Linked DNA regions of Caenorhabditis elegans. The protein of the gene in region 3 interacts with the protein of the main gene of each other region in a pairwise test. Each region holds a gene or a part of one and is shown on either strand. Other genes may lie near its edges.

Evidence for each region.
Region 1: the proteins of rsa-1 (region 3) and let-92 interact in a two-hybrid assay, tested with the Caenorhabditis elegans proteins (one study listed by BioGRID).
Region 2: the proteins of rsa-1 (region 3) and paa-1 interact in a two-hybrid assay, tested with the Caenorhabditis elegans proteins (one study listed by BioGRID).

The regions. Positions count from the first base shown.
Region 1 is NC_003282.8:11,856,678-11,866,859, reverse strand, and holds let-92 (Serine/threonine-protein phosphatase 2A catalytic subunit), read right to left. Parts: upstream 8,419-10,182; 5' UTR 8,415-8,418; coding exon 8,286-8,414; intron 8,240-8,285; coding exon 8,030-8,239; intron 7,976-8,029; coding exon 7,913-7,975; intron 7,868-7,912; coding exon 7,679-7,867; intron 7,575-7,678; coding exon 7,401-7,574; intron 7,348-7,400; coding exon 7,156-7,347; 3' UTR 6,400-7,155; downstream 1-6,399. Other genes in the region: trpa-1 (Transient receptor potential cation channel subfamily A member 1 homolog), read right to left, coding at 1-819, 1,380-1,791, 2,232-2,313; mob-1 (Mob1/phocein), read right to left, coding at 4,449-4,779, 5,717-5,843, 6,179-6,302.
Region 2 is NC_003281.10:5,445,820-5,456,296, forward strand, and holds paa-1 (putative serine/threonine-protein phosphatase PP2A regulatory subunit), read left to right. Parts: upstream 1-4,910; 5' UTR 4,911-4,921; coding exon 4,922-5,430; intron 5,431-5,481; coding exon 5,482-6,341; intron 6,342-6,388; coding exon 6,389-6,606; intron 6,607-6,659; coding exon 6,660-6,739; intron 6,740-6,783; coding exon 6,784-6,875; intron 6,876-6,929; coding exon 6,930-6,943; 3' UTR 6,944-7,318; downstream 7,319-10,477. Other genes in the region: disl-2 (DIS3-like exonuclease 2), read left to right, coding at 1-169, 220-474; skpt-1 (F-box domain-containing protein), read right to left, coding at 817-1,012, 1,063-1,225, 1,276-1,409, 1,519-1,805, 1,849-2,173, 2,221-2,302, 2,346-2,424; F48E8.8 (Hsp20/alpha crystallin family protein), read right to left, coding at 3,019-3,146, 3,194-3,379, 3,535-3,655, 3,701-3,817, 3,913-3,993; F48E8.4 (MRH domain-containing protein), read left to right, coding at 7,787-8,080, 8,347-8,500, 8,553-8,725, 9,166-9,568, 9,768-9,857, 9,907-10,013, 10,063-10,148. UniProt on the Caenorhabditis elegans protein: Acts as a scaffolding protein for phosphatase let-92 and its regulatory subunits.
Region 3 is NC_003279.8:10,179,893-10,189,942, reverse strand, and holds rsa-1 (Serine/threonine-protein phosphatase 2A regulatory subunit rsa-1), read right to left. Parts: upstream 4,088-10,050; 5' UTR 4,066-4,087; coding exon 3,966-4,065; intron 3,917-3,965; coding exon 3,747-3,916; intron 3,700-3,746; coding exon 3,588-3,699; intron 3,541-3,587; coding exon 3,452-3,540; intron 3,401-3,451; coding exon 3,174-3,400; intron 3,127-3,173; coding exon 3,025-3,126; intron 2,982-3,024; coding exon 2,864-2,981; intron 2,810-2,863; coding exon 2,726-2,809; intron 2,684-2,725; coding exon 2,471-2,683; 3' UTR 2,393-2,470; downstream 1-2,392. Other genes in the region: Nucleolar protein dao-5, read left to right, coding at 1-1,964, 2,013-2,171; clec-87 (C-type lectin domain-containing protein 87), read left to right, coding at 4,497-4,647, 4,698-5,064, 5,114-5,297; iars-2 (isoleucine--tRNA ligase), read right to left, coding at 6,011-6,244, 6,295-6,529, 6,578-6,654, 6,704-7,897, 8,335-8,575, 8,624-8,884, 8,930-9,223, 9,270-9,587 and 1 more; C25A1.20 (Proteasome assembly chaperone 3), read right to left, coding at 9,636-9,706, 9,755-9,836, 9,883-10,050. UniProt on the Caenorhabditis elegans protein: Regulatory subunit of phosphatase let-92 which recruits let-92/paa-1 complex to the centrosomes, thereby regulating microtubule outgrowth from centrosomes and mitotic spindle assembly ensuring the stability of kinetochore microtubules.

The DNA.
Region 1 (10,182 bases), on a different chromosome or scaffold from region 3:
TTTTTTCTAAGGTGGTCCAAAATGTATTCAACAGAAGAAAGAGCATTGAACTTGGCTCCAATGAATACTGGGGTACGTTCATCTTTATCCGTGATTGTCAAGTTTGCTTTTTTTGCAATCAGGTACTCAACACACTTTTTACTATCATGAGTGACTGCCATCATCAAGGGAGTCAAGCCTTGTTCATCGACTACATCAATATTATCCTTTTCCTCTTCTATTAAATAGCTTACAACTTCCAATTGATTCATTTGAGCAGCAACGTGAAGTGGCACTGCTTTAACTTCATTCAGTTCATTCTTGTTTCCTCCAGCTTCCACTAATGCTTTTAAAACTTCTAAAAATCCCTTTTCAGCGGCAAAATGGATCAATTCCTTCTCCCTATCCATCCATTTACATGAATTTTTCTTTTCCATCTGCAGAATCTTTTTCAAAGTTTCCGGATGATTTCCTTCTACAGCCATTCTCAAAGGTGTCTTCTTTTCATTATTAAATAAATTTAATGCCTTGATTGCTTCAACTGGATCATGATCCATCATCATCTCTAAGTATTCCGGCTCACCCCGCAATGCAACAATATGAAATACTGTGTTGAGTCGTTGATCTCTTTTCGTAACATTACTATTTGCTTTAATAAGCTCTTGAATTATTTCTTGGCTTCCATGAACACAGGCTAATAGAAGAGGTGTCATTTTGTTATCATCTTCCGCATCCACATCTGCTTTCAGTTTTATGAGAGCGTGTAGAGCAGAAAAGTTGGATTTCATGGCTGCATAGTGAAGAGGAGTCAATTGGTACTTATTCACAGGATCGATTTCACTTAAATTTTAGCCGTTTTTTTTCAATAATATTTTTTAATTTAAAATTTCAAACATAAACTCCGATTCACATTCAGGAATCTTATTGGGTTTTTCTAGCAATCTAGAGATTGATTTTCATAAAAAAAGGTTTTGAATAAGGACATTAAATAAGCGGACTTATTTATGATTTTTGTCTATGAGAAAATGTCACTAGTATCCTAATTTTGAATTGATATTAGATTTTTTAAGGAAAAAATTCCGAACATAAAACTCGAAAATGAGAAGTGTTTGGTCCTAATTTTAAAATGTTAAAGATTTATTATAACTGCTCACAAAATATTGGATGAGGTTAGAAATGCTCCAAAATAATATAATAAGATGAGTACTTTTGCCAAATTTTGAGCTCAATTTTTGGAAAGGAAAATGTCCACAAAAAAACTTAAGCAGAGCATTGATATTTGTATTTAAAAATTTTAAATGTAAACTCCGCCACAAATTGGGTTTCCCCAGGAGTTCCATCTCATTTTTCAAATGAAATCAGATAATCATCAAAGTCACAAGTATAAAGTTGAAACTCACGCATTTTCAGAAACTAAGGCATTTATGATCTTCTTGGTTGCAGTATTGTACTTTCTCGCGGAATCAGCTTGATCCTCATCTATAATTGAGCAAATATCACTGTATCCATAGATATACTTGGAAGCAATATGCAACGGAGTGTCGCCTTCTCGATTTTTTGTATTAGGTAGAGCATTTTTAGAAAGTAATAGTTTAACTGCATCATAGTTTCCGTATCTCGCTGCATAGTGAAGCGGTGTCATAAAATCACCATCTTGGGCGTTCACTGCCAATGGAGCTTTCAGCAGAGCTTCTTGAAGAGCGTTTACATTTCCTTCTCGAGCACTTTGATGGATTATTGAACGAAGATTGTCTGCTTCAGTGCGAGCATCTAGTTCAGCGACTCGAAAGATTGAAGCTTGACGACCATCTTCTGAATGATTTGTTTTTTTTTCATACATGAAAACTCTAGTTTTTGAATTGAAAATGTGTTGATTAGGACTCTAAATTGGCGAACTGATAACTGTTATCAGAGTGTTTTAAACCAAAAATAACACGAAAGTTCTTAAACTTCATTTGTGGAACTTTAGTATCTGAAAGAAAAACTCCGTATAAAATTGTTTACCTAACTATGTGCCAAATTACTTTTAGTACATGACGGAGAAATTCCAAAGTCTCGAAATCTATTTTTTCTGAAACAAGAACAAAAGCCAAATTTTAAAAATTTTCGTCTAGTTTTCGAGATGATTTTTACTTGAGTTGAGTTGAATGTTTTTAACCCAGCTCAGGCATAAGGTAGGCACGTAGACCTGAATGCGTTAATTAATACAAACAACATATTTTTCCATCAAAATGTGTATTCAGATTACTTACTCTCAGATCTGATTGTATCATCATTTGAAATCAATCCTTCCAATTCCAGCCGAACATCAAGCCCTAATGATTTCTTCGACATTTGATTTTATGTTTTCTGAAATTGAAATCAATTTTGAAACCCCTAAAGATCTTTAAAATGGGATAATCTTTTTTGAAAAAATCTAAATCTGGATAAAACACTAAAAATAAGATTTAAGAAGGAAATATACACAGGAAAAGAGAGCCGAGAGGTTGTTGCTGTCTGGTCGTTTCCGTAGTGACCGGAAAATTGGTGGAGTATGGAGGAAAAAGAAAGGCAATCAAAGATTCATATTGGGGAAGAAAAAGCAGAAGGTGGTACGGATAAGACTGGATTTGAAATTTGAAAAATAGGCCAAAGAACTTCTTAATCATGTTTTTTTTGGGGTTTGCGAAATTTAAATTTCGAAGATAGTTTACTTCAGAGTTCAACTCTTATCAATAGTTTTCAAGAATGATAACTTGCAACAATTAGGTGCGGAAGACCTTGTAATAGTTATTATTAGAATATTAGGTCATCCTGTAAATTATGAAAATAAATGAAAACTGACTTTTTAGCATATTTTAGCATATTTCTTAAATTTCAGCAAGTTAATAAGAAATAGGCAAATCTAAACTATGGAAACACGAAACACAGACATTCATGGCAAAGTTCTGAAAACAGGCAGTAGGCAGGTAGGCCTGTCTCGTCCGGCTACAGTCGTACCTGTCTAGGAAAGAAGTCATACACAAGAGAATAAGAAGGAGACGTAATATGACCGTTTCGTAGAATCTATATTTCAGAATTCACCTAGACTGCAACCACGCCCTAATGCAAACTTCCAAAACTACCAAATACGAAAATCAATGAAAAGAAAATAGGTGAAATCTGTACAAACGTGGAAGTATGCAAATAAATCCAAAACAGTCGAAAGGCAAAAATGTGAGTCACTCATTCTCTCCTCTCTTCTCTCACTCTGTTTCACCTTTCAATACAACAAATTGGTAAATAGAATGAATTTAGATGAGACCGTAGACGAAAAAGGAAAAGTGCGAATATAATATGTAACCCCTAGTATAGGACAAGTAAGCAAAAAGAAAAAAGGAATGTAAGTTCAAAGGTGGAATTGGTATGGTATGGAATCCAAAAAGAGACGAAATAAAAAGAATGCAGACGGGAAAAAGAGAAAGAGCAAACAGTGGCATTTGATCTTTAAGTGGTATTTTGTTCGAAAAACTATTTGATTTTGAAAAAAAAACTTCTTATTTCGATTCTATCGAGTAGGATCTACTATGGCGATCAATAAGTTCTTTTTCGCATTTTCTCAGTGTTCATAATTTTTCAAATATTTTCTATTACGGGAACAAACATCTATGAGAATGCGTACAGAATGCGTACAGGCAACATGTTTGACGCGCAAAATATCTCGTAGCGAAAACTACGGTAATTCTTTTAATGAACAGTAGTCACTTGAAGAGTTACTGTAGTTTTCGCTACAAGATATTTTGCGCGTCAAGTATGTTGCACAATACGCATTTTCAGAATTTGGTGTTTTCGTGATACAAAATATAATAAATAGAAATATAAATTTTGAAATCTCGCTAATTATTTTGGGGTTTCTGCAGAATTGTGGCTAATGTTTTCAACTTTATCCAAGAAAAATTATTCGTATTTAGTTGTATCCACTTTCAGAAAAAAAATGTTTTTTTGGAAAGTTTTGGTTTCTTCTGAAAGGGACTTTTACATAGATAGTTGAAAAGGATGAAAACTGAGAAAACACGGAAAACTTATTGCTCACCCTATTACAAGTGGACAAACAATAAATATTCTTTGAAATCCTTTTGCTGGAAAATGTTCTAACTTATTTGAGAAAGTACTCAAACTAAAAACCTTATCTACATGTAGCCGAAAAGTTTTTTTTTTTGATAATTTGAAAGACCGGATAACAATTAATTTAATGAACATCTCTCAACAATTCGTCACACAAAAAGAAAAGAAACTAGAGAATTTTTGAAGTTTTCCCAAACTGATACCATATCATGAACGTCAGAAGCTTATGATTTATAATCCAGTCTTTTTGTGTATTAATCCTAAAAGCACCTATTTTAAACTCATAAACACGTATAGTTCAAAATTTAAAGCAAATTTATTAGAGTTTTACACATCTGAGGAGAAGGGGAATCACAGAATTGGGAATATTATTAACAACAGATTATTTAGCTAAACGATATGAGATTCTCGATGATTTCCCGTAATGGTTCAGTTTCTTCCTTGTTGAGAAGTTGGAATTGATTGGCGAATAGAACGAACTGTTTGAACGATGTGTTCAGGTGTGCCAAGGCCTTGATAGCTTTGAAGTGATTGACATGGGCAAAATAGACGTGAGCATAGATTCTGAACAGTCTCCTCATAATTGCTTGACAACGTTCCTCAAAGTCCGTGGGGAATTGTTTTCCGATTTCCGATGGGAACACGTTTTCGTCGTCGACATTGTTTTGGCATGCAGTGAGCGATAGATCAATGTATTGAGGAGCACTTGTGTTCAGTCTGAGATAGATTTTTTTTTTTTGGAACATGAAGATTAATGTGAGAATGGTTTTTTTGCGTTTTTACGAAAACAAAATTAATTTTCCTTCTTTTTTAAAGATGGAGTAGTGCACTAGTGAACGTGGTTTTTTTTCTCTTAATGACAAAAAATGTTTTTCCAGAATTTTTACAGATTTTCCAATTTTGTAACAAAAAAAAAATTAGAAAGGCATGTGTTTAGTTTTCGAGTTTCAACATTTCGGTGTTTCCCAGAAAACAATTAATTGGTTTTTTCTTCATTTTTCAATTTAAATTTTTTTCTGCTTGTGAGGAAAACTGTGACAAACCATGTTAAAAACAATCCAAAAATAAAGAAAAGCCGAATTAATATAGTCAGAAAGCACAAAAACGAAATTTGAACGGGAATTATAAAGTAATTCGGCTCTTTATTATGGGAGCACAAAATTTTGAGAATGCGTATTGCGCAACATATTTGACGCGCAAAATATCTCGTAGCGAAAACTACAGTAATTCTATAGATAACTACTGTAGCGCATGTGTCGATTTACGGGCTCGATTGTTGAAATAAATTTTTTTGTCCTCGTTTCTTCGTATTATTTTCTCATTTTTGTATAATTTTAATATTCTATCGATAACTAAATTCTTTATTTCGAAAATCACAGGCGCTACAGTAGTCATTCAAAGAATTACTGTAGTTTTCGCTACGAGATATTTTGCGCGTCAAATATGTTGCTTCAAAGTCATAGAATTTGAGAAAAAGTGCACTATATATATTTTTTGCTGCAAAATTGAAAAAAAAAACCGAGCAAATTTTAAACAATTATATACGTTTTACAGTTAGATTATGTATACTGAAACGGTTTTCTGCAATTTTAAGAATTTTCAAAATATTGAATTTTGATAACCAAGAATTACGGAAAAACTTAGAAAAGCTTACAATGTTCCTTCACTGGTCCAAGTATATTGTCTTCCATGTGCTGTCATCGATGGACACTTTGAATCGGTACATTCGGATTCGCAGAGAACTCCGAAAACCATTCGAACTTGATTTACCAGATCGATTACTGAAAAAATGCGCTTTTTTTTTGGAATTTTTCAAAAATAAAATTAAAAAAGAAAACTTATAGAAACTGTATGTTTCCGCTTTTTTAAAGGGAGAACCAAAATTGAGAAATAGTCTCGCCGCGCGTCAGTGTTTATTTGTTTTCGTGTACGCGCCTTTAAGATTACTGTAGGAAATTTATCCAATTTTTTGTATTTTTTGAGAAAATTGGATCAACTCGAAAAAAATCACAATTAGCAGTTTTTGTTTTATTATAAATTATTTTTTGTTTTATTACAAATTATTATTACCAAGCTGTGCAAAAAAATGTCAAAGTTTTTTTTAGCAAAAACTTACTATTTACGGCGAGCCATTCATTTTTATCTTCCCCTGGTGGAAGTTTCAGAGCGTCACGAAGATTTCCACTTCCTAACGTTGAAACTGCCATTGGATTGCACCATGATGAACTTGGTTCACTCATTTTCTGGAACCAAAATAATTCGATTTAAAGTTTTTTCTTTCACCAAGACAAGTATTGTTTTATGCTTTCTACATTGCAATCGAAAATTCAAAACTTTGATGTGGACACAGTTTATTGATCATTGATGATAAACAAAATGTTGATGGGGCAAAAATAATATTATAATTAAACAAAATGGGGGAATAAAATAGTGGAAAAGGGAGAGATGTTGTCCATTCGCATTTTGTGATAATAATCATAAGAAACAAGGAAGACGGGAAGTGGTGAAAAGGATGGGATGGAGGGGAAAATAGTGTAAGAATATGGAAGGAAAAGAAAAAGAGTAAAGAAATGTTGGAAGCGAACGCCGTACAGCGCGTGCGCGGAGAAGATCGCAACTTTTCTCACACGGGGATGACTGAAAAGAATATTGATTGCTTCATTGAGTGAAGGAAGAGAACCGAGTGCTAAGGTTGACACGAGATGTCGGAGATATTTTTTCAGTAATGGCTAATGATTCCGCCAAACTCTTCCCACCACATTAATTTACATGAACAATGAAATTTTCATCCCTATCATCGCATCATTTGAGAAGAGAAGCACGGTTTGATCGCCTAAATTTTGGTAGAGGACAAGAGAATGGAACAAAAAAGATAGATGAAGAACACAACAATCATTTCGAGCAACTTCAGAAGAGATGGGATTGTCAAATAGGATGGTGTTGGGCAACGATACAAAAACAACGATATTCTATATAATGACTGAAACGATGAAAAAGAGGAAAAGTGAGAGAAAGTATTGAAATTAATTGGGTAAGGGGGATAATACGGAAAAAAAAGAAAATGAAAACGGCGATTTGAACGGAGGTATCTATCTACAGGAAGTAGTCAGGCGTTCTGCGAGTAACATGTGGTTCTCCTCTTCGAGGGGCAGGGTCGAATTGCAAGAACGAATATTTGAGATCGTCGTCCAGCTCCACCATCGCTGCCTGATTTCCACAACGATAGCAGTAGTTTGGTGCTGAGAACACTGTTACCACGTTACGATCGTGACTCCAGTTGTATCCCTAAACATATTTATATCATTGCAAAATTATATCGATTTGAAATAATTTCTCACCTCCATGACAAGTTGATGGGCCCGAGAAATTAGAGTAAGTCCATTGGAATGGTTGAACGTCTCCGAGATATCCTGACCGAATGTGTATCCTGCTCCACGTGGAGAGATTCCCCAGCCACCTCTGTCATCTGGATCAGACCAGAGAAGATCGCACATTGGTCCTTCGTGTGGAACCTTTAAAAATATATGATTTTCGGTGATGAAAATGTTAGAACTTTTCTATTATTGAAATATTTCAGGCTAGTAACTATTAAAGGTAGATTTCCACAATAACTTACCTCTTGAATGCGGTCAAGAGCTCTGATGTGATCAAGAGTATCAATAGACGGTGAAAGACCTCCGTGAAGGCAGAAGATTTGACCATCAACAAGAGCGGTAAGTGGGAAACAGTCGAAGAGATCAGTGAAGTACTTCCACACATTCGAGTTTCCATATTTCCTCAAACACTCGTCATAGAACCCGTAGACCTAACAAGAAAATAATAATTTTTGAAATAAATTGATTTTAATTACCTGAGTGATTTGTCGCGACTCGTGATTTCCGCGGAGCAGTGTTACTCGATCCTTGTATCGAATCTGAATTTTTAAAGATGTTATAATAATTTCCATACTATATTGTGATAACTGTACCTTCAAACAGACAAGCAGACTAACTGTTTCGACGGAATAATACCCCCGGTCGACGTAGTCTCCCATGAAAAGGTAATTCGTGTCAGGACTCTTTCCACCCATTTTGAACAGCTCCATCAGATCGTGGAATTGACCGTGAACGTCACCACACACTGTCACAGGGCACCGGACTTCTTGCACATTCGGCTCTTTTTCCAAGATCTCTTTCGCCTTAAAAAAATTAATTTTTGACAATCACAAAACTGTATCAACAAACCTTTTCGCATAACGTTTTGACTTGATTCTCCGATAGTGGTTTACATTCGTATAACTGCTCAATCCACTGATCTACATCGACGATTAGTGCTTTATCAAGCGGATCCGCAGATGGTGGGGCAGCAGCCATACTACTGAAAACTTATTTGTTGGTCAAGAAATTAGAAGTATAAAAAAGTTTGAATGATAAGAACGCATAGAGAAAGAAGAAAGACAACGTGGGCAGCTATAGCAACGGAGCACGAGTCGGAGAAAGCGTGAAGAGCAGAAACTCACGCTGTTGCCTCACAGTCAATACTTTTCAGCGGATTCTTCTTTCCGTATAAACTGATAGGATTGCAAGACAAAAGGGATTAAGTGCCCCTTGCTCCAACAGCATCTTATAACGAAAAAGAAAACGTCACAATTGGAGGAGAGACAGTTAATGAAATGATGTAAAGCACAAGTTTTAAAAAAGACGGAAAATCAATCGTGAACAGGTTAAGAAAAGAAAACAAGAACATAGAAATAAAATGTGTAGTTTTTATGGATTATTTTTCAATGTTACTAAATGCCAGACCGGATTAGTTACTAGTGTCAAAAAGTGTCCATTCTCAATTTTAGACGAAGAAGTGAAAGATGAACAACAATCACGCGCTGAAAAATATTCATAGGAAAAAGAGGAAATCGATAACTCGCTGTTTGCGTTTCTACCTCCCACCAAACCATACGGAATTTCATTCCGTTCCGATAAGGCAAAGAACAAATGTTGTTAATTATGTTTCACAATAGGGGTCAATCTATGTTCTAACGAGAATTAAAATATTTTAATTGTTAGGCAAACGTTGATACGGTAAAAAACCTAATTATGTAACTGAAACTCTTCAAATGAAAAAAAAAATCATAAAACTGTGTTTTTTTTGCCTTATTTTCGGTGAATCATAATCAATATTCAATGGGCAAAAGCCAATTGTAATGGGAACACGTGAGAACGGAATAAATGAATTTAACATTAGTGGAAGACATCAAAATGATAGAGAACGCGGGATGATCGAGTACGACAAAATTGTTGTTTTGTGAGGAGAGCGAGGCGGAGAAAGCAGGGCTGCAGAGAGATGCGGGGCCCGCCAATTGGGCAGTGACGGAGGATCAGACGACAGATAGCGAAGGAGCAGCGGCACTCCTGTGCTATAACCAGCCGAGGAACCAATCGCATTGCGAAAGTGACGGAGAAAGAGATGAAAAAGAAAAGATATAAGGCAGAGGAAAGAGCGACCGCATCGCAAGGGCTCGCGTCGCGGTTCACTGCGCTCTACTGAACACCCTCACTGTCTGTTGTTAACAAGACGGAGAGAAGTGAAGAAGTCCTCTTCCTGAACCGATGTTTTCGTTTATTGGCGTTATCGCTGAAGGCGACAACGACGACAGCAGAGGCGTTGTGTGCAGAAAGGAGGTGTGAAAAGGCGAGGATTTAGAGCTCTGGTGACGTGCTAGGGACGGCCAAGTTATGATAGAGGGGCGTACTGAAAAAAATGTTCGAGGTAGAATATTTCTAGAAAAATACATTTCATAACCCAGCAGAATCATGATGACTCATTTATGCGAAATTTCAGAAAAAACGGTATGTTTTAGAAGATGAAACTATCGATTGGCAACTAACGAAGGTTAATGATGTCCGATTTTTTAAATTATTATGTAACAAAATCATTGTTGAAAAAGACCGAAAACTTCAGACAGAAAAAAAAACTGGTGAGCTAATTATAATTCAAATTAAAAGTAGGAATACGATCTAGCGGAATGACAATAGTTTGTTACTAACGGCTCCAGTAACTGAATCTAGTAAACAATATGATTGAAACCGGAGATTTTCAGCATCAGGTGTTAAAGAATGACATCAAAAACATGCTAGATGATGAATT
Region 2 (10,477 bases), on a different chromosome or scaffold from region 3:
AAAGCTCGCATCGAAGGAAGCTTCGGATGAGTCTGCGATGCTCTATTTTGGAGTTTTCATCCATCAAACCGGTCCGATGAAGTGCCAAGCTGTTGTTCTTGGTGTAATGGATCTCTCATTCGACGTCCTCATCGTTGAGTATGGAGTTGTGAAGAGAGTTTATGTGGATGTGAGTATAGATTTCAAACAATGACGAAAAAAAAATCCGAATAATTTCAGAAAATGAAGCGAGACTTCAACAAATCGACCGAGAAGCTTACCATTTACTGGCCAGCAGATCCGAATGCGGAATCCGGAAACCGTGAAGAGTTTTCGAGCTCAATTCAAATGTGCAACGTGGTTTACGTGATTCTCGTGCCGTACAAAAGCATTGAAGTCAGCGCGACAATTGTTCGTCCGAGTCTCGAGCAACGTAATATTCTCAAGTCGACTCTCAAGGACATGAAAGAAACGGGCTCAACAATTCTTCAGTAGTCATTCGGATTCAGTGATCTCCTCCAGCAAAAGCTTTTTTTCCTTTTTCAATCCTTTTTTCCCCTTTTTCTATCCTTTTTTTCCCTTTTTCTATCCTTTTTTTTCTCCTTTATCCTTTTTTTCTTTAAATTCCATTTTCCCGTTGTATTTTTTAAAACGCGTGTCCATTCCTCGTCCCGGTTACTTTTGGTGTCGAATGAAAATGCATTATTCAATATTACTAGCGAAACTTTTATTTGACAAGTTTTGGGTGTTAACTGTCACGTAACTCGTTAAGAAAATTAGAAACTAGAGAAATATAGGACAATTGAGAAGTGCAGTTAAAATAATATGTATTGTTATCTATTCGATATCCATCATTGTCTGTCCCCAGATCATATTCGACTCGCATTGGTAGCTGACCGGTTTGGCGGTGAAGTTGAAGTACTGACGGTTGACCTTCAGATTGGAGCACATTTCGAGGAAAAGCTCCATGTTCGTGTCAGAGACGCAGCCATGAACGTTGAGATAAACGAGCGAAGGCTTACTGTTGAAGTGTCTGGAAATGTTTTGTTTAAATAAATTAAACTAATTTTCAAATAAACTCACACAACCATATTAGGGTCCAATCCGTAGCATCGATTGAGAGAAATTGTCGTAAGTCTCGGGAATTTGTTCAGAATCACTGCGAGGCCTGGATCACTAATCTCGACGTTATCCGACAAGTCGAGGTCGGTGACGTAGTTGGATTTTGCGGCGAGAATCTCAATATCTGGAATTTTTTACAGAAAATTAGAAGATTCTGACAACAGAGCCGCTCACGTTTATTGTTGATGCCGAAGTTTCGAACTGTTCCCGAGAGATTCAACTTTTTGAGCTTCTCGCCAATGGAATGAATGATTACGGTCACAATTGGCTGTGTTAATCCACACCACGCCAGATTCAGTTGTTGCAGGCTGAAAAAAATATTACGAAGGTGCACGGGAACAAGAAATATGTTACAGAAATTATTTAAAGATACACGTGGCAAGAACACTTTCAGGAAAGTTTTAAAAAATCCCTCACTCTTTGCAATTTCTGAAGATCAAACTGGCTCCATTTGCCGTGATTCCGTTGGTCATCGAGATGTCGAGCTCGCGGAGCCCGCGATTCTCTGCAATGCATATTGCCACGTGGTCATCCAATTGATTTCCTTCAATTGACAAGCATTTGAGCTTCTGGCATGGTTTCAACATAATCTGCATTTGGCGGGCAGTGAGATTAGTGCGAGAGAGATCGAGAAGCTCCAAGCGGGAGGTGCTCAGCAGTGCAACTTCGACGAGCCGTTCATCGGCACGAAGGATTCGATCGGCCTGGAAACAGTTAGTTTTATAGGAAATAAAATAAAATTCTCACTTTAGCTCCTGCCAGACGAAGAACTTTGATTTTTCGTTGTGACAACGCAATCAGTGAAATTTCGGAAATAGGACGATCCTGGGCGTCGGTGATAATCCAATTTCTCGATTTGTGTCCGATTCCGTAAAAACGATGACAGACGAGCATCGCCGAGAGAAGATCCTTCTTTTTCAAATTGGAAAAGATTTGTTCAGTGATCTCATCGGGAATACTGTACTTTTTGAACGGATTCTGAATACTGCGTGCGTCTTTTCGCTTGATCGGAGCGATTTCATCTTCTACGAGATTTTTGCAATTCAGATTTATCGACTTTAGCTTTTCGGAGCTGAAATGTCGTAAAATTAAGAAAATTAAGAGATAATTGCAGCTTACTTTCCGGAAACTGAAAGCCTGAGGCTTTTCTTTGGATAGAGGTTGTAGCATGGAAAGATGGAGATGGTCTCATCTGAGAATACTTTGAAAAAGTCAATCATATTTGAATTTTGACACACAATTACCTGTCTCCACGCAATGCTCATTTTCAGAGGGTCCGTTATCTTCTAGAGTTGATGGAAGTCTTCCTATGACACGAGACATTTTGTTTGAGTAGATATGAGGTGTAGTATTTAGGTGGTAAATAAGGGAAAAAGCACTTTCTGCTTGAAATAAATTCAAAACAGGGCTGATTTGAATAAATATGAACTCGCGGGCGCGGTAATCTTTTTTAGGTTGGCGCGAGTTTTTGCAATGCAAACGCGCTCCACCGCAAATCTGAATTTTCGAACATTTTTCGCCAATTTTTATCCTTATTTTTTTATTTTTTGCAATATTTCGCTATTTTTATTTGTTTCTCCCACCAAAAGCGCACATTTTTAAATCAAAATACGATTAAATAAAAGTAATATAACTTTTTAAATAAGTCCAAATAACCTTTAAGCAAAGTAAGGGTCGAATCTGAAACTATTTCTTGAAAACAACTTTTTTGTCTCATTCATCGAAGATTGGTTGTATTCGGAAGTGAGAGGTTGACAAGTTTTTTAAAATCCATTTTATTAATTATTCCGAAATACACATTTAGTTCCAATAGTTTCGAAATTTAAAACGTTTGAGTCATCCTTCATTTTTTCTGCCTAGTTGCTGTGATCATTTGGAGAGAGTATAAGAATTTATTAATCATTTCGAAAAAAAAAATCATTTTTGAATATCCTGTATCATTCTATTAAACTTGAAGTTATTCGGCCGGTGTTGAACAATTTGCTCCTCATTGGCGATCATTTCGTTATTCTGATTTCTTCGATTATAACGGAAGGAGAGTGGATCTGAATTTACAGTAGATTTTAAATTGGTTTTTCTTGAATTTCCTCACCTAATTTTTGTAGTGGAACAGGCGCTATGTCCACCGGCTCTGCAATATTGTTCAAGCCGATCGAGCGATTTGCGTAGAGATTTATTTCATTAAAGATATAATCATCTGACAAATTATCTGGCACCCCTCGTTTTCTTTTAGAAGTTTCCTCGATAGGTTCGGTTACAATTACATCGGTTTGTTGAGCTGAAATAGGATCCAAATTATCAAATATCCTTCTCTATTCATGTTATAAATCTTGGTTGTAAGAACAGTTAACATAATTAGTAACAATTAGAAACCTGATGTGATTAAGATTCTATCACTGTTTTTAAATAGTAAAATAAATAATTTTGACATACGTATATTGATAACTTCTCCTCTTTGTAACGCCTCAATCAATGCATCCAAATCAAGATCTCCATCACCTTGAGCCTCACGCAGTGCTCTCTCCTTTCGAAGCCTTTCCTTCAGTCGTTTAATCTGTCATTAAGCCACTAGTATACACCTTGGAGAGCCACCACAAACCTGCTCGGCTCGTCGCCGTCTACTTTCCTTATCTATCTCCTCTTCACGCTTGCCGTCTGCCCATTTGTTGAAGCTGAATGTGTTGAACACATTCGCACCGTCTCCCATTGTACTGTTCTGTAAATATATAAACTGAGCTAATGAGAAGAATACGTACTAGAGCACCACGCTTTTGCGAAAAATGAGAACCAAAAGCTCGATTGTGCACTCACTTTTGCATATTTTATTAAAGCTTTTGACGTCCTTTTCTCTTTTGTTCGCCTGTTTGAAATTTTTGAAAACCAGGAAACCATGATGATTTTAAATGTTTAATGATGTTCTTCTAACAGCATGCCCACGCGTTTTGCCTGAAAATTCGAATCAAATTAATTTTCAGCCTTTTTATTGTTTAAATATCAGAAAAAAACTGGCTGTTCACTAATCACGTGATGCCTGTGTTTTCATCCTCCCTTCTACACTGAAAATATTCTATTTTAAGGACATTTTCAGTCATTTTCCGGCGCTGTTCCCTCTGTCGTCGCCACGTCCAGTACACCGAAACCGACGACAAATCGATGAGAGCTCTACGACCGCAGGCGCGATGGATTGTGCTATTGCAGTGAGAGAGAGATGGCCGTTCTCTGCTTCTCTGCGTATCACTGTCGCAGCTGTTTCTCTTCTTCTCCTTTCGCCGCTCTTTTTTTGCATGTTCGTCAGGTTCACTATAGCGATTTCTTAATATCGAAATTTCACGAGTTTCAGAGTTGATTTTCGAAAGATCAGTGAAAATATTGTCCACGTGGTAGAGTTTTTCACTGATTTCTCGAAAATTCCAATAGTTTCTTTAAAAATCACACTCTTCTTCTTTGAACAATTCCATTTCATTGATTTTCTATATTTTCGTACAGAAATAATAATGTTTCAACAAAAATATGTTTTCTAGCACTGAACATTCTTAAATTTGAATTTAATTTTCTTAATATCAGATATTCAAAGATGACTATTCGTAGATTCTGCAAGTTCTTTCAAAATACTCAATTTTTCTATTTTCTCTCCAATTTATTTCTCCAAAAACCACCCGGTAATCAATATTTCAACACATTGCTGTGTTATCTTCACTGCGTCTCCTCTCTCTCTCTTGTTCTCCTCATGCCCGATGATAATCCGTTTCTCTTCCCGTTCTTTCTCCTTTGAATAGCCGCGAGATTAATTTTCATAAAACAAATTTCAGCACTCTTCATCATGTCGGTTGTCGAAGAAGCCACTGACGACGCGCTCTACCCGATTGCCGTGCTCATTGACGAGCTGCGCAACGAAGATGTCACGTTGCGACTGAACAGCATTCGCAAACTCTCCACAATCGCTTTGGCGTTGGGTGTGGAGCGCACACGCAACGAGCTCATCCAATTTTTGACCGACACGATTTACGACGAAGATGAGGTTCTGCTTGTGCTCGCCGAGCAACTCGGAAATTTCACTCCATTGGTCGGTGGTCCAGATCATGTTCATTGTCTTCTCCTTCCACTTGAGAACTTGGCCACAGTCGAGGAGACCGTGGTCCGTGACAAAGCCGTTGAGAGTCTCCGCAAAATCGCCGACAAGCACAGCTCGGCCTCATTGGAGGAGCATTTCGTGCCGATGCTCAGACGTTTGGCCACTGGAGACTGGTTCACATCCCGTACCTCGGCTTGTGGGCTTTTCTCTGTTGTTTATCCACGTGTCAGTCCAGCTATCAAGTCGGAATTGAAGAGGTGAGAATTAAGAAAAGAATAACTAAAGCAATCTAAATTAATTATTTTCAGCATGTTCCGAACCCTGTGCCGTGATGACACCCCAATGGTTCGCCGTGCTGCTGCTGCAAAGCTCGGAGAGTTCGCAAAGGTGTTTGAGAAGACTGCCGTCATCGAGGGTCTCCACTCCAGTCTCACTGATCTTCATGTTGATGAGCAAGATTCTGTTCGTTTGCTCACTGTCGAGTCAGCCATCGCTTTCGGAACTCTCCTCGATAAGGCTAACAAGAAGAAACTCATCGAGCCAATTCTCATTGAATTGTTCGATGACAAGTCGTGGAGAGTTCGTTATATGGTTGCCGAGAAGCTTATCGAGATTCAGAATGTCCTCGGTGAGGATATGGATACCACACATCTCGTTAACATGTACACGAACCTTCTCAAGGATCCAGAGGGTGAGGTTAGATGTGCTGCCACTCAGAGACTTCAGGAATTCGCTCTCAACTTGCCAGAGGACAAGCGTCAGAACATTATCTGCAACTCACTGCTCAACGTTGCCAAGGAATTGGTTACTGATGGGAATCAGCTCGTCAAGTCGGAACTCGCCGGTGTCATCATGGGACTTGCTCCACTGATTGGCAAGGAACAAACTGTCTCTGAGCTTCTCCCAATCTACATGCAGTTGCTTAACGATCAAACCCCAGAAGTTCGCCTCAATATTATTTCCAGTCTTGATAAGGTCAATGAAGTGATCGGAGCAGCTCAATTGTCCACATCCCTCTTGCCAGCCATCGTTGGATTGGCCGAGGATGGAAAATGGAGAGTTCGACTCGCAATTGTTCAATTCATGCCACTTCTTGCTTCCCAGTTGGGACAAGAATTCTTCGATGAGAAGTTGCTTCCGCTTTGTTTGAACTGGCTTACCGACCATGGTAACTTGATTTTTTCTTAAAAATGTTTTTAATTTAATTTTTTCCAGTGTTCTCAATCCGCGAGGCATCGACCCTCATCATGAAGGAACTGACACAGAAGTTTGGAGGACAATGGGCTAGCACGAATATTGTACCAAAAATGCAGAAACTTCAGAAGGACACCAACTACCTGCAGAGAATGACATGCTTGTTCTGTTTGAATACACTCAGTGAGGCGATGACTCAGGAGCAGATTCTGAAGGAGATTATGCCAATTGTGAAAGATGTAGGGAAATTTTACTTTTTTATTTAAAGAAATCGTAATTTTTCTAATTTCAGCTTGTCGAGGATGACGTGCCGAATGTCAGATTCAACGCCGCAAAGAGTTTGAAGCGAATTGGAAAGAACTTGACCCCAAGGTGACAGGAAAATCTTTTTCACTATCCCAATTTTCTATTTTCAGTACATTGACGTCCGAGGTGAAGCCACTGCTCGAGAAGCTCGGAAAAGATTCAGACTTTGACGTTCGATACTTTTCAGAGGAAGCCAAGAACTGTAAGTTTCAGTTGTCTTAAAATTTAGAGTGAATTTGAAATTGAACATTTTCAGCACTCGGCTTGTAATCGAACATATCGCTAGTCAAATTGGAATCTCTACATCTTCCACTTCTCAATCGTCTTATTTTTCCATTTTTGTTCCCGAGCACGCGAATAATCTCTATCTCTCCTCATTCATTTGTAAATGTTTAGCCCTCGAGACAAAACTCTGTATTGTAATAGTTCTAACCACCGTCCCTCCCACAACAAAACAATACAAATTATAATCGTTAAATTATGCGACCTCTCTTTATGATTATTTTCATTTTCCTCCCACTTCTATCCCGTATATTTCACCATCCTACTTCTTTCTGTTCTTTTTCCACCACACACAATCACCACTTTTTCCATTGCGACCCATTCATTCATTTATTTTTTTTGCAGAATAAAAGGTCATCGTCTATTATGAGAAAAAAGGTCTCAGGTTAGGTTAGATCAGTGTGGTTGAAATCTCTGAAAATATTTGGAATAATGGTGTTATCCGGCGTATGCCACGTCGCAGAAGCTTTTGAGCAGAGAATCTCGGTGCTTTTGCAACGTGGATTAAATATTGCTCAAGTTGCAAGCGTTGTGAAACGTCTCATTCAAATAAAAAATTTACTTTTGCCATTTGGAACTTTGAAACCATCTTTTTGGCCGTTTGGCAAATCCAGCTGGCAAAGAGCGGGCATAAATTTATATTAAACGCGCAGTTTCCCGATTGATTGTCTCAGAAACTTCCAGTGCTCAGATTTTGCCACGTGGCTAGAAGTTTTCGTTGCCAAAATTATTTTTTCCAATTAAAAAACTGTTCGCATTTACTTTTCAATTTTTCAATTCAATCGGAGAATTGTTTACGTAGTTTCTCTTTGCAGGTGCTATGCCAAGACGATGATAATTTATTTCCTCCAACTATTCCTGCTGCCGTCCACGACCGCCACGGCAGGCGTATTTGACCTTGCAGAGTACCGACGGGTCTCTTATGACGCGAATATTGGCGAGAATTTTCTTTGGTTCGCCCCGGAATTGGATATTCGAAAAGTTACAGCCAGCAATATTGATGATCTCGAAAAGCGAATTGTTAATCGGATTCCCGATGACTCGACCGAGCAGAATTTGATGTTTGTGACGAGTAAAGGAGGGCAGAAGTTTGCATGTTCTTTGCCAGATGTGGAAGATGTTAAGGTACACATTTTTAGATTAAATATTGTGCTTTGTTGTAAAAATCGGCAAAAATTTGTAGCGTGTTGTTTACAGTTGACTTTAGGTGTTCTTTGTTTCATTACAGCGATAATATTAGTTCGAAAGTCACGTTTTCGAGTTTTTCGCTTAATTTTTTAAATTTTCACCATAATTTATAAACAATCAGTGAAAATACGCTAATAAGAGTTTTATTTCAGTATTCAGACATTAAAAACGCATAAACGGTCTCAAATATTGTCTGGTTTCAGAAAGACAAACCAAAAAGCAGCAAGAATCCGAAAATCTATGGAGACGCGCTCGCCGCAAGCTTTTACGTGGACAAATGTGTGAAACTACGTGGTAATCACTGGTGGTCTTATATTCTGTGCCGTGGACAGACAATTGAGCAAGTGCACGGAGAACGTGAGTGTCAATAATAGGAAAATAAACCAATCAATATACATATATATTGCAGCTGGTCAGGAGGGATATGTAAAGAATATACTCGGATTGTTCGATGGAAGTCTCAAAATGCCATCCTATCAAGAATCAACGGATGATCGATTGCTTTTCGTCGAGGAAACGTACACGAGTGGGACTTTCTGTGATTTGGAGGAATACAGGGAGCCACGGATGACTTCTGTTCGGGTATTATATTAAAAAAAAAAGACATTTTACCGCTCTAACTACGGGATTGTTACTTTAAAACGATTTTTGAAAAAATGTATACAACATTTTTTACTTTAAAATACTAATTTAATTTTTGAGAGAAATATCAACATGGCTAAAAATCTTCATTTTTTTTGGAAAGTTCACTGATGTGTTCCATAGTTTTTTAGACAATTTTTAAAAAGCATAACGTACTGAAATTCCAAAAATAAAAGTTAAAATCTAGGCTAAATTGGCGAATAAAGTGTTTTTAAAGTAACAGGAAAATAAAATTATTATTTATAAAATTGTACTTCAAAAAAAAATCAATTTTAAACTTCAAAAACAGGGAAAAAACTACCAAACAACCTTTCAAACCTTGGTCCCTATTCAAAAACCACAAATTTCTCCTAAACAGCTAATACTTTCCAGTTTTTCAGTACGAATGTGACGCCCAACTGAGTACCAACGAGGTATACATCTCTTCAGTTGTCGAAGTGAAACCATGTCAGTACTTGATGATTGTAAAAGTTGGAACCCTCTGCAGATATCCGGAATTCTTGCCCGCAAGCCAGTCAAATACCAAGAAAATTGGATGTCAACCATTTTTGAGAAAAGAAGATGTTCGACAATTGTTAGAACGACAGCTTGAGGAGAAACAAAAGGCAGAAGAATCACAAAGAGTATTGACAGTGAAAAAGCGAAAATTCCAACGAGCTGCTGAGAGATTCAATGCAATGACCAAATCACAGAGAAATCTTCATATTCCTGACGTGGTGAAACGGATTAACGCGGAAATGGATTATCACGCAGCTCATTTTAACCTTCTGGTTGCAGGATTAGGTTAGAGTTTAAGAAAAAAAAGTGGCCGCGAAAATTGTTAGCTTCCAGAGGAAAAGTTAAATTTAAAATCTTGTCAAATAATATCCAATGAATGGAAATTCAGTTTTTTTTCAAAAAATATGTAATAATTTTCTCACTTTTTAAGAAAGAAATTAGTAAAAATACAGTGAAAATAATTAATTTTTTTGAATTTTAACAGAACTCGAAGGAAAACCAATCACACAAAAGAAGCGAGATTATATGTGGAAATTATTCAGCACGGCAGATATCAGTGACTACATTTTCTACTGTAACTCCCCCAGTTTTCAAAATTAAAAAATTAGTAACATATTTTTCAGCTGATTACGACACTGTAAACGACGAGAATCGCGGTCATCTATGGTACTATTTCCATGATCCATCATGGCCGAGAAATCAATTCCCAAAGGATATTATGGCCACTGCGGTTGGGAAATGTTGTGAATTTTCAAGTAAATTTCTAAATTCTATTGTAGGTTCAAAATGGATATCTCTCCGAGGTTCAGAAGAATTTGAAGGGAACTCAGTACAGATTTGGGGATAATGATGAACTTGTGGAAGGGTACGGTTTTCAGTGGAAGAGATTTTTTTAAAACTAGGCCTGGAAGAATTTTTTAACTCCACGTGTCGATTTACGAGCATTTGTTTTTTAATGAAAAAAAATTGTTTCAAATTGAAAAATGTATTCAGTATTATTAATTCATTTTTCTAGTTAAAATTTTTTTTAAACTGAATTTCATTGGTAAAGTAAAATTCTTGGCCTAGTTTCTTCTCCATCTCAAGCTACGTGGCCGCGAAAAGAAAAAACTCGGCCATATTTGAAATACCGTATTTCTTCTATTAATATGGCTGCAATACTATTTTTCGATGGTCTTCCCGCTTGCAATACTA
Region 3 (10,050 bases):
AGCCAGCACCAGCTAAAGCAACTCCAAAGCCTGCTGCCAAGAAGGCCGATTCATCTTCTGATTCTTCTGATGATGAAGCTCCAGCGAAAAAGACTCCAGCTAAAGCTGCTCCAAAGCCTGTTGCCAAGAAGGCCGAGTCCTCTTCGGATTCAAGCGATGACGAGAAGAAGCCAGCTGCCAAGCCAACGCCGGCTAAAGCTACTCCAAAGCCTGTTGCAAAGAAGGCCGAATCCTCTTCGGATTCATCCGATGACGAGAAGAAACCAGTTGCCAAGCCAGCACCAGCTAAAGCTACTCCAAAGCCTGTTGCCAAGAAGGCCGAGTCCTCTTCGGATTCAAGCGATGACGAGAAGAAGCCAGCTGCCAAGCCAACGCCGGCTAAAGCTACTCCAAAGCCTGTTGCAAAGAAGGCCGAATCCTCTTCGGATTCATCCGATGACGAGAAGAAACCAGTTGCCAAGCCAACATCAGCTAAAGCAACTCCAAAGCCTGCTGCCAAGAAGGCCGATTCATCTTCTGATTCTTCTGATGATGAAGCTCCAGCGAAAAAGACTCCAGCTAAAGCTGCTCCAAAGCCTGCTTCCAAGAAGGCCGAATCCTCTTCGGATTCATCCGATGACGAGAAGCCAGCTGCCAAGTCAACACCGGCTAAGATCACTCCAAAGCCTACTGCCAAGAAGGTCGCCTCCTCATCTTCTGATTCCTCCGACGACGAGAAAAAACCAGCTGCCAAGCCAACTCCAGCCAACGCTACTCCAAAGCCTGTTGCCAAGAAGGCCGAGTCCTCTTCGGATTCAAGCGATGACGAGAAGAAACCAGTTGCCAAGCCAACATCAGCTAAAGCAACTCCAAAGCCTGCTGCCAAGAAGGCCGATTTATCTTCTGATTTTTCTGATGATGAAGCTCCAGCGAAAAAGACTCCAGCTAAAGCTGCTCCAAAGCCTGCTTCCAAGAAGGCCGAATCCTCTTCGGATTCATCCGATGACGAGAAGCCAGCTGCCAAGTCAACACCGGCTAAGACCACTCCAAAGCCTACTGCCAAGAAGGCCGCCTCCTCATCTTCTGATTCCTCCGACGACGAGAAGAAACCAGTTGCCAAGCCAACATCAGCTAAAGCAACTCCAAAGCCTGCTGCCAAGAAGGCCGATTCATCTTCTGATTCTTCTGATGATGAGGCTCCAGCGAAAAAGACTCCAGTTAAGCCAACTCCAGTCAAGATTGTAGCGAAGAAAGTTGATTCGTCTTCTGATTCATCCGATGATGAGAAGAAGCCTACAAAGGCAACTCCTGTCAAAGTCACCCCGAAGTCAGTTACAAAGAAAGCAGCAGCATCGTCTTCGGACTCATCCGATGATGAAAAGAAACCAGTGGTGAAACAAACTCCTAACGTTGTCCCGAAAAAAGAGAAAGCGGCTTCAAGTTCAGATGATTCTTCTGACGATGAAAAGAAGCCGACTGCCAAGCCAACACCAAAAGCTACTCCTAAGCAATCTGCCAAAAAAGCTGATTCATCCGATGATTCTTCTGATGACGAGGCACCGGCTAAGAAGACACCAGCCAAGTCAACACCTGCAAAAACCGCTGTGAAAAAAGAAGCCTCTTCATCGTCAGACGATTCTTCGGATGATGAGAAAACGAAAAAGAAGTCTGCCACCACACCAGCAAAATCAACTCCAAAGACTGCACTAAAGAAAGCTGAATCTTCTGATTCCTCTGATGACGACGAAGATCTTCCAAAACCATCTAAGGCTGTCACTCCAAGACCACAACGTGCTGACTCTGAAGAATCCGCCGAGACCGAGGAGAGCAGTTCAAGAACACCGGCTTTGAAGGCAAAACCATTGGCTACCTCGACTGAAAAGGCGGTCTATGAAAACCGAAAAAGAAAGTCTTCACCATTCCGACGCGTGCAAATGACAAAGGATAGCGTTTCTGAAAAATTTAGAAACAACCAGCATGATTCGGTAAACATATAGCGACTACGAACAAAGTTTAACTCGATTTATTTTCAGCACTTCGATCAATGGGGACAGCGTGCCAATGAAAGCCTAGGAAAAGTTGTTGGAAAAGCATTCCGTCATGAGAAAACTAAGAAGAAGAAGGGAAGCTACGGAGGTGGTCCAATCAACCAATCTATTAATTCTATCAAGTTCTCTGACTCTGACGATTAGTTTCTTAACTTTATCCTTAAGTTAATTTGTTTCCAAAATTGTTTCTCACCCCCGTCTACACTTCGTTTTTTATCTGTTGTCTGTTGCTTTCCTTTTTGTTTCCCCTTTAAATTTATAATCCTGAGTTGATCCAAAACAAATGTTTTGTATACTTTTGTTACTTCAAATATAACTTGTTATGTTTCCGTTTTTCTCCCTCTTGTCTCATCCATAAAATGTTTGGTCCAAAAGCTGTTTATTACCCTTGCAGGCCGAAATGAGTGGTTAGAATAGTTTTAAAAATAAAATTAGCGGGACTGCTATTGCTCGCGTCGTTCGTACTTCATGTAATCATCGGAATTGGAGAGGAATCCAGCAAACGTCGAGTTCATCCGATTAGCAAGAAACTCTTCCAATGTAATTCCATTCTGATTCAGACGCATCATATCTCTCAGTTCGGCAGTTGCTACTTCCGGGTTCACACTATTATCTTCCGGGACGTAATCTGGCAGGTTTTGAAGCTGAAATGATGACTTTTAAGCGATGAGAAAGTGTTCTTGGAGAGTTTTACTCACTATTGATCGAATTTCTTCCTCATCCAACAGTCCATCATCCTTTAGATCCAGAATTTCGAAATGGTATTTGGCGGAGGCAGTGGTCTGGAAATTTATTTTTTAGAACAATTTTTTGGTTCTGATTAAAAAATCGCTTACATGACGGAACTTTAGAGCGGTGACAAAATCAACGAACGCTTTGAAATCAATACGTCCATCTTCATAGGTTATTGAAATTTCGAAGATTCGCTTGGTGAAAACCTCATTGAAGATTCCGCTGAAAAATAGGATTTATAGACTGAAAAATAATTTCTTCATACTCTCTGAAAAATTTCAAGTCCGCTGGCGCCAACAATCCCTTTCGTTGGGAGTCAAGGAATCGGAATTCTGATAAAGTGGTTCGAAATTGAGCGACGGTGAATCTGAAAAAAGACTTTTTGAAGCAATTTATGGCACTGATAAATCATACACATCAATTTTCGGAGGTGATAAGCAATGATTCTCTGCATGAATACACTCTTCGAGTTGTAGTAGAAGTGTTGAAGCAAGTAAATCCTTCAAATATACACAGTCTCGCCGTCGAGCACCCAATAGGAAAAATATTGTTCCAACTGCGTAAGCTGTATAATAGACAGGATTTTCCGGTTCTTCAATCATAATTGGAATAAAATGTGTGGCCACAAAGTCTTGGAGACTCTGAAAATAGTGTCAGGATAATAGCTTTTAGAGTAGAAATAAGATACTTACATAACTGGAAATCTCTGTGCTATTTTCTGAAAATGGAAGAAGTTTGATGTAGGACTCCTCAGCGTGAATGACTGTTCGTACAAGCTCCTCTGAAATTCAAATTCTTTATAATAAGAACTCCCTGCTTTGCACAAACCTAAAAGAGTGATATCAATTGTTAAATTATAATTGGTTATTTTAACGAAATTCGACACTGTGTTATGTGGAAGTAGATCTTTGATTGATTGTGGTGAAGTTTTGAGTATTTTCTGAATAATTGCACATTCTTAATTATTGAATTCACCGAGAACCTTACCATTAATCGAGTTATCGTCACATATCTACTTTCTCCCCCTTCACCCCAATTTAAATCGATTTTGTTCGATCGAATGATGTTTAAAAAGCATTCGGCATTTTTTTTAAACTCCTCTACATCTATTCTTCGATTTTCGGCAAATATATCCATAACTCGATCATTAAATGTTCCTGAAAGATAATACCGCTGAATAATACATTTTCGCTGAACCCAACTCACGTTCGAAGTCACTCAATGCTTCGTTACTTTTCTTCAACATCAGGGATGTTGGAATCGTTGGTAAAATGGATTTTCGCTTCGAAGGTTCGTCGGTTGGCATAGTGACACGAAAATTGCAAGGGAGGAGAGAATTGAATTCGAATCTCGAGCGTTATTTTCTGTTGAAAATGGGCGCATTAAGTGCGCTCCACTGCATATTTTGTTAATATCAAGGGCGGCTATTCAAAATATAATTTTCAAAATTAATTACAATTTTTTAAAACAAGATCTTGCCCTTTTAAAAGTTAAATATTTTCATAAATGAAAATCTGCAGTGTGCTACAGAACATTTAAACCATCATCCGTGCTTCAAATTCATAACACCAGTTCAGAAATGAAGTTTAGGATATTTCTAGACTTGATTTGTTTTGAAATTATTATTTGATCTCTGTCTATTAGCGGCGCGCATTTGTGAAAATTTCAGGAAACGGCGGCAAAAATGTGCATAAAAGGAGAACGAAACGTTCATTTCCTCAGTCTTCACTGCTCATCATGCGTTTTTGCCTTCTCGTTGCTTTCATCCTTCCTGGGCTATTCCTCGTTCATGCAGCTCCGACTTCTTCAACCGAGCTTCCTGAAGCTAGTGGTGAAGCTCCAGAAACATCACCATTGGTTCAAAACGACGAACAGCCGCATCAACGACGTAAGTTTCTTTGAAATCTTTAAATTTTCGTTAAAAGTAACAAATTTCAGTGACGTTCTACAACTGGGACTACAAGGATCTCGGCACAACGGCATTCGAAGACATCTCGTTCCCAGCTCGACAGCCGCCAGCCTTCGTCAATCAGACTGAGAAGTGTCCCGATGGATGGCTTCGGTTCGCCGATTCGTGCTACTGGATCGAGAAGGAGCTTCTTGGATTCGCCAAGGCCGAGAGAAATTGCTTCGAGAAGCAGTCAACACTGTTCGTGGCCAATTCGATTGAAGAGTGGGACGCAATTCGTGTTCAAGCCAAGGAAGCCTTCTTTTCGTGGATCGGACTTGTCAGATTCACCCATTACGAGAAGTTGGAGCAGTTGCCAAGATGGCAGACTGAAGGAGCTCTCAATCCAACCAAAATGTAGGTTTTGTCAACAACAATTGATTGCTTCTAAATTTAATTTTTTCAGCAACTGGCTCATCAAACCATACAAGCCACTCTTCAACGGTTGGTCATCACTCGCCAATTGTGCTGCCAGCTACAAATCACCATCATCCCTGGAATCGGCATCATACACGTACTTCTACCCGTGCACGTATATGCTGTACTCCATTTGTGAACGCAATTCGACCATCGTCAACGCGTTGCAGTGAAGCCTTCTGTACTTCTGACACCAATCTAATCATGTAAACAATCATCCACAACTAATCGTTTATTATTTGTCACCGGGTTCCATCCCCCTTACGTTTGACAATCATTGCACTCACTTTATAAATTTTGAGACGTTATGTATTTATATCGGAAAATAAATTTTCAACATCAAATCCTGTTTTCTATCTGAGGACCTCTTTTGCTTGAAGCAAGTCGAGCATGACGTCAAGTTTTTCTTGCTAGAAGTTGGTGTTTCGGGAAATTGATGTGCAAACATAAATTAAGAGGCACCACGTTTTCAAGATCTGTTCAAAAACAAGATCTACGAAAACAAGATCCGCCAAAACAAGATCTACGTTTTCAGGATCTGGCACCGTGCCAACTGCGGTTTTCTCTACGCGTCGCGTGTTGCTAAGCGTAAATTCTAGAAGAAAATTTCAAAAAATATTCGTTTGAACGCTAAACAACACGCGACGCGTAACATCGGAGCATCGTTGTTTGGTTTTCTTCGAGAAAACCACAGTTGGCACGGTGCCAGATCTTGAAAACGTAGATCTTGTTTTGGTAGATCTTGAAAATGTAGATCTTGTTTTGGTGGATCTTGTTTTCGTAAATCTTGTTTTTGAACAGATCTTGAAAACGTGGCGCCTCTAAATTAAAACATTTACTTTCCTAAAATAAATCAAATTACAATGTTCTACAAAAATCATCTAATTTAACGAGAAAGTCCCATCGCATCTGAGCATCTTCCGCATAGAGCATCACTTTCATTCCGAGTGTGCTTCCGGCATCTCTCACAATATCGCAACCGGCTTTCCACGAGCTCAACAGAATTTTCATCCCGATTTTCATGCAGTATCACTTGTGAAACATTTAACAATTCTGGCAGCTCTGATTCGTAAATGCGAAGAATTGTGTGGTATTCTGGTGTCACTTGAAGAACAATTCCCTGTAAATAAATTCAATTGATCTGGTACTGTTTTTTTCTAGAAAACGTACTTTTTTAGAAGTATCAATCTTTGGACCAGCAGTTGACTCTAAAAGATTTCGAACTTCGTATACGAATTTCATGTGCTTTGAAAGCTGATCATGTGGAGTGAGAAGTCCATAATGAAGATCTTCAAATTTCAAGCGAAGAATTTGTTTTTCATGGGATCCGGGAAGGTGCTGGAGGACTTCTGATGATAAATGCGGAAGGATTGGAGATATGATATGAGCTAGATTGTGAGCAAGCCTGAAAAATAATGAATAAAAAGAGTTCTAAAAATCTTACTTGAAATACCTATGGAGAGTGAATTGAGCAGATATATGAGACTCGCTGCCAACTTTATCACAGTAGAGACGATCACGAACATATTTCTGAAATTTAAAATATCAAGATTCAGTACTCAATTTCTTTGAATCATACCACATAGTTTGCACTAAAATTTCTTTGCAAAAACTGTGTCAAATCATTTGCCACTGTACGGAATTTGAAGTCGTTGTAGTTAACAATGGATCTTTTGACAATCGCGTCACAATTTTGTAACATATCTATATCCAACGTCTTTAATGGAAACTTGACTTGTTTTCCATCAAATCCTTGACAGCCTCCAATCATGAAACGAAATCCATTTCGAAAAGCAATAACTTTTTTGTCCACATCGTCGATAATTTTCATTCCGATTTTTGATTCTCCAGCGTTCTCTGAACCGGATAAAGCCACCCAAAACCGGAGACCATCTGCTCCAATTGCTTTTTGCTTCAATGATCCATCCGTGAGCATTGTTGGATCAACAACATTACCGATAGATTTTGACATTTTATTATTGTTCTCATCAATACAAAATCCATGAACAATAATCTTTTTGTATGGAAGTTTATTTTGTACGGCTACAGATGTTAGAAGAAGTGATTGGAACCATCCTCTGAATTGATCAACACCTTCTAAGACTACATCAGCCACGTGTTCTCGTTCAGTGTCATTATCTCTAGCAGCATGCCAAGCAAGTCCAGAATCCAGCCATACATCCATGATATCCGTATTCTTCTTTAATTGAGAAACTATATCACTGGGAATTTCTAACGATCTTCGAACTTCTTCATTTTCCAATATTTCTTTTACATCAATCTCCCACCATACATCAGTATTTTCACGTTCTCGTGTCAATTTTGCTACCCATTCAATGAGTTTTCGAGATGTATAGGATCCACCGTTGTCATCAACTAATGCAGGAATCGGTGTTCCCCACACTCGTTGTCTTGAAATACACCAGCTTTTTCTAGTTGTCACCAGTTGTTTGAGTGATGCACGTAGATCCGAATCACCTGCGGCCACTGAAATGTCATCAAGCATCATAGAAGCGCGTTTTCCAATTTCATCCACATCGATAAACCATTGTTCACTGCTTCGAATGATCACTGGCTTCTTCGTTCTCCAGTCATAAGGATATGAATGAACATGCTTCGATACATGAACAATATCATGATTCAACAGCCGAAGAGCAATCTTTTGGCCTTCTCCCAGCACTTCTTTACCATCTAGATCATGACCAAGGTGTCTGGTATAACATCCACGAGAATCTACGAAACTTTCTACTCGGTCTCCTTTTGATATAGCAACCTGAAATAAAAGATAACATTTCAATAATAATAAATCATTTACTATAAATAAAGCGCTAATGTCTATCCCTATGTAGTTTGACCTTTGATCTCGAAGCAACTGGAAGTTCCCGGCCTTATGGTAAATATGCAGCCGACATTGATCGAGGTCCGCGATAGACACTGAATGTCTTCGGCCACGTGGAGTCAGACGGTCCCTTTTCGCTTTGATCTACGAAAAATGCGGGAGGTGAGACGTAGACATCTCAACTGATTTCGCATGGTTAACAGTGTGCTTACGTCACAAATTTTCTGGGAAAAAATTCCCGCATTTTTTGTAGATCAAACCGCAATGAGACTTTCTGACACCCCGTGTTCGGCGTCTCTCGAAAAAGTCGGGGGCCGCGCCGTAGGTGCGGTCCACGGCTGGTATATATATAATTTCCTTATTCCACCTACATCATAATCCTGGAATCCATGTGCAAATGCTGTGTGCACTAAGCCAGTTCCAACTGTATCCGTAACGTGTGGACCTTCGTATATTGGAAGACCAAGTTCATTGTGCCAACAGCTTTTGTATCGTCTTCCGATCAAATTCGCAGGTTTCACTGTTCCAACAACTTTACACTTTCGATCACTTGATTTTTGGAATTCTTCGAGCAATTTAGAAGCGATGACATAGAATGTGGAAGTTGGATTGCTGAAAGAACTTTATTTTATTCTAAATATAGGATTTCAATTCTCATACTTGATTTCATTATCAAATTGAATCAAGGAATACTGAATAGCAGAGGACACGGAAATTGCGTTGTTAAGTGGAAGAGTCCATGGAGTTGTAGTCCAAATCAATGCGAAGAATTGAGAAATCTTGGAAGGTTCAGAATGAGCCCAAATGACATCAGATGATGAGAAGTTGATCAGCTTGAATCGGAAATAAGCGCTTGTACTTTGATGTTTATCATTGTATTCTAGCTCTGATTCAGCAAGAGCTGTATTTGAGCTCGGTGACCTAAAAACGAAGAAAATTATATTCGAGATAACTTGCGAAACGTACCAATAGACCGGTTTGAAGGATCTATACACCAGCTTCTGCTCCACAAGCTTTGCAAAAATGTCCAACTGAGCCGCCACGTAACTTGGACTTTTCGTCACATACGGTTTCTCCCAGTCAGCAGTAACACCCCATCTTCTGAATGCATTCATTTGCTTTCCGATGGCTTCATCTGCAACGATTCGAGCAGCAGCGCGTGTTTCCAATGGTGTTCGTGAACCAGCATTTCCTTGCTGTTTTCCTATTTTTAACTCAATCGGAAGTCCGTGACAATCCCATCCAGGACGGAAGAGTACTCTGAAATTTAAATTAAAGTGGAATTACTAATTGTAATTATTCATACCTATATCCCAACGCAATTCTACTCTTCACAACGAAATCTTTCAAAATCTTATTGATAGCATGACCCGTGTGAGCTTCTCCGTTTGCATATGGTGGACCATCGAGAAGTTCGAATATTTCTGAATCTTTTCGAGCAGCTTTTTGCCAGGAATACAAGTCGTTGAGTCCACCATCACTCGCTGCTTTCTGATCGGAAGACGAGCGTTCAGTTGACTTGATATGATTGATAAATGAAGAAGAAGGTAAAAATACTGTTGATTTTTTCTTATTGGGAGTTTCAGACGACGTGGATGACGAGGAAAGATGTGTGAGAGAGTTACTGGAAAAATCTTTGAATAGATTATTTATGATTATTTATTGTTTTCACCTAATGATTCTCTTCGAGGGCTTGCAAAGCGGCTGCAATGCATTCGTTCGGGATGCCATCAAGATCGATTCCTATAGAAAAATTGATTGTAAAAAACTATTTACTATTTCAAGATTTACCGAAAACAAAAAGAGCACTCTTCCTCTGGTTTGTTCCTGCGAAATGGATCACAAATCTACGAATGAATAACTCAACGCCGGGCTGTAAAGAATTGAACCGTTTCAACATCAAAATCATCTATTCATACCAATTCAGGATTTCCCAGCAAGCTCTTCAACTCGTATTCGACTCTTTGTTGATCGGAGAGCTGGCTAGATAGAATCTCTGGTGGCTGAATAACTTCGATTACTTGTCCGATTCTTCCTGTTGAATTGAAGTGCACAAGATCTTTGTCGGGATGCGAGGTTATCGAAAA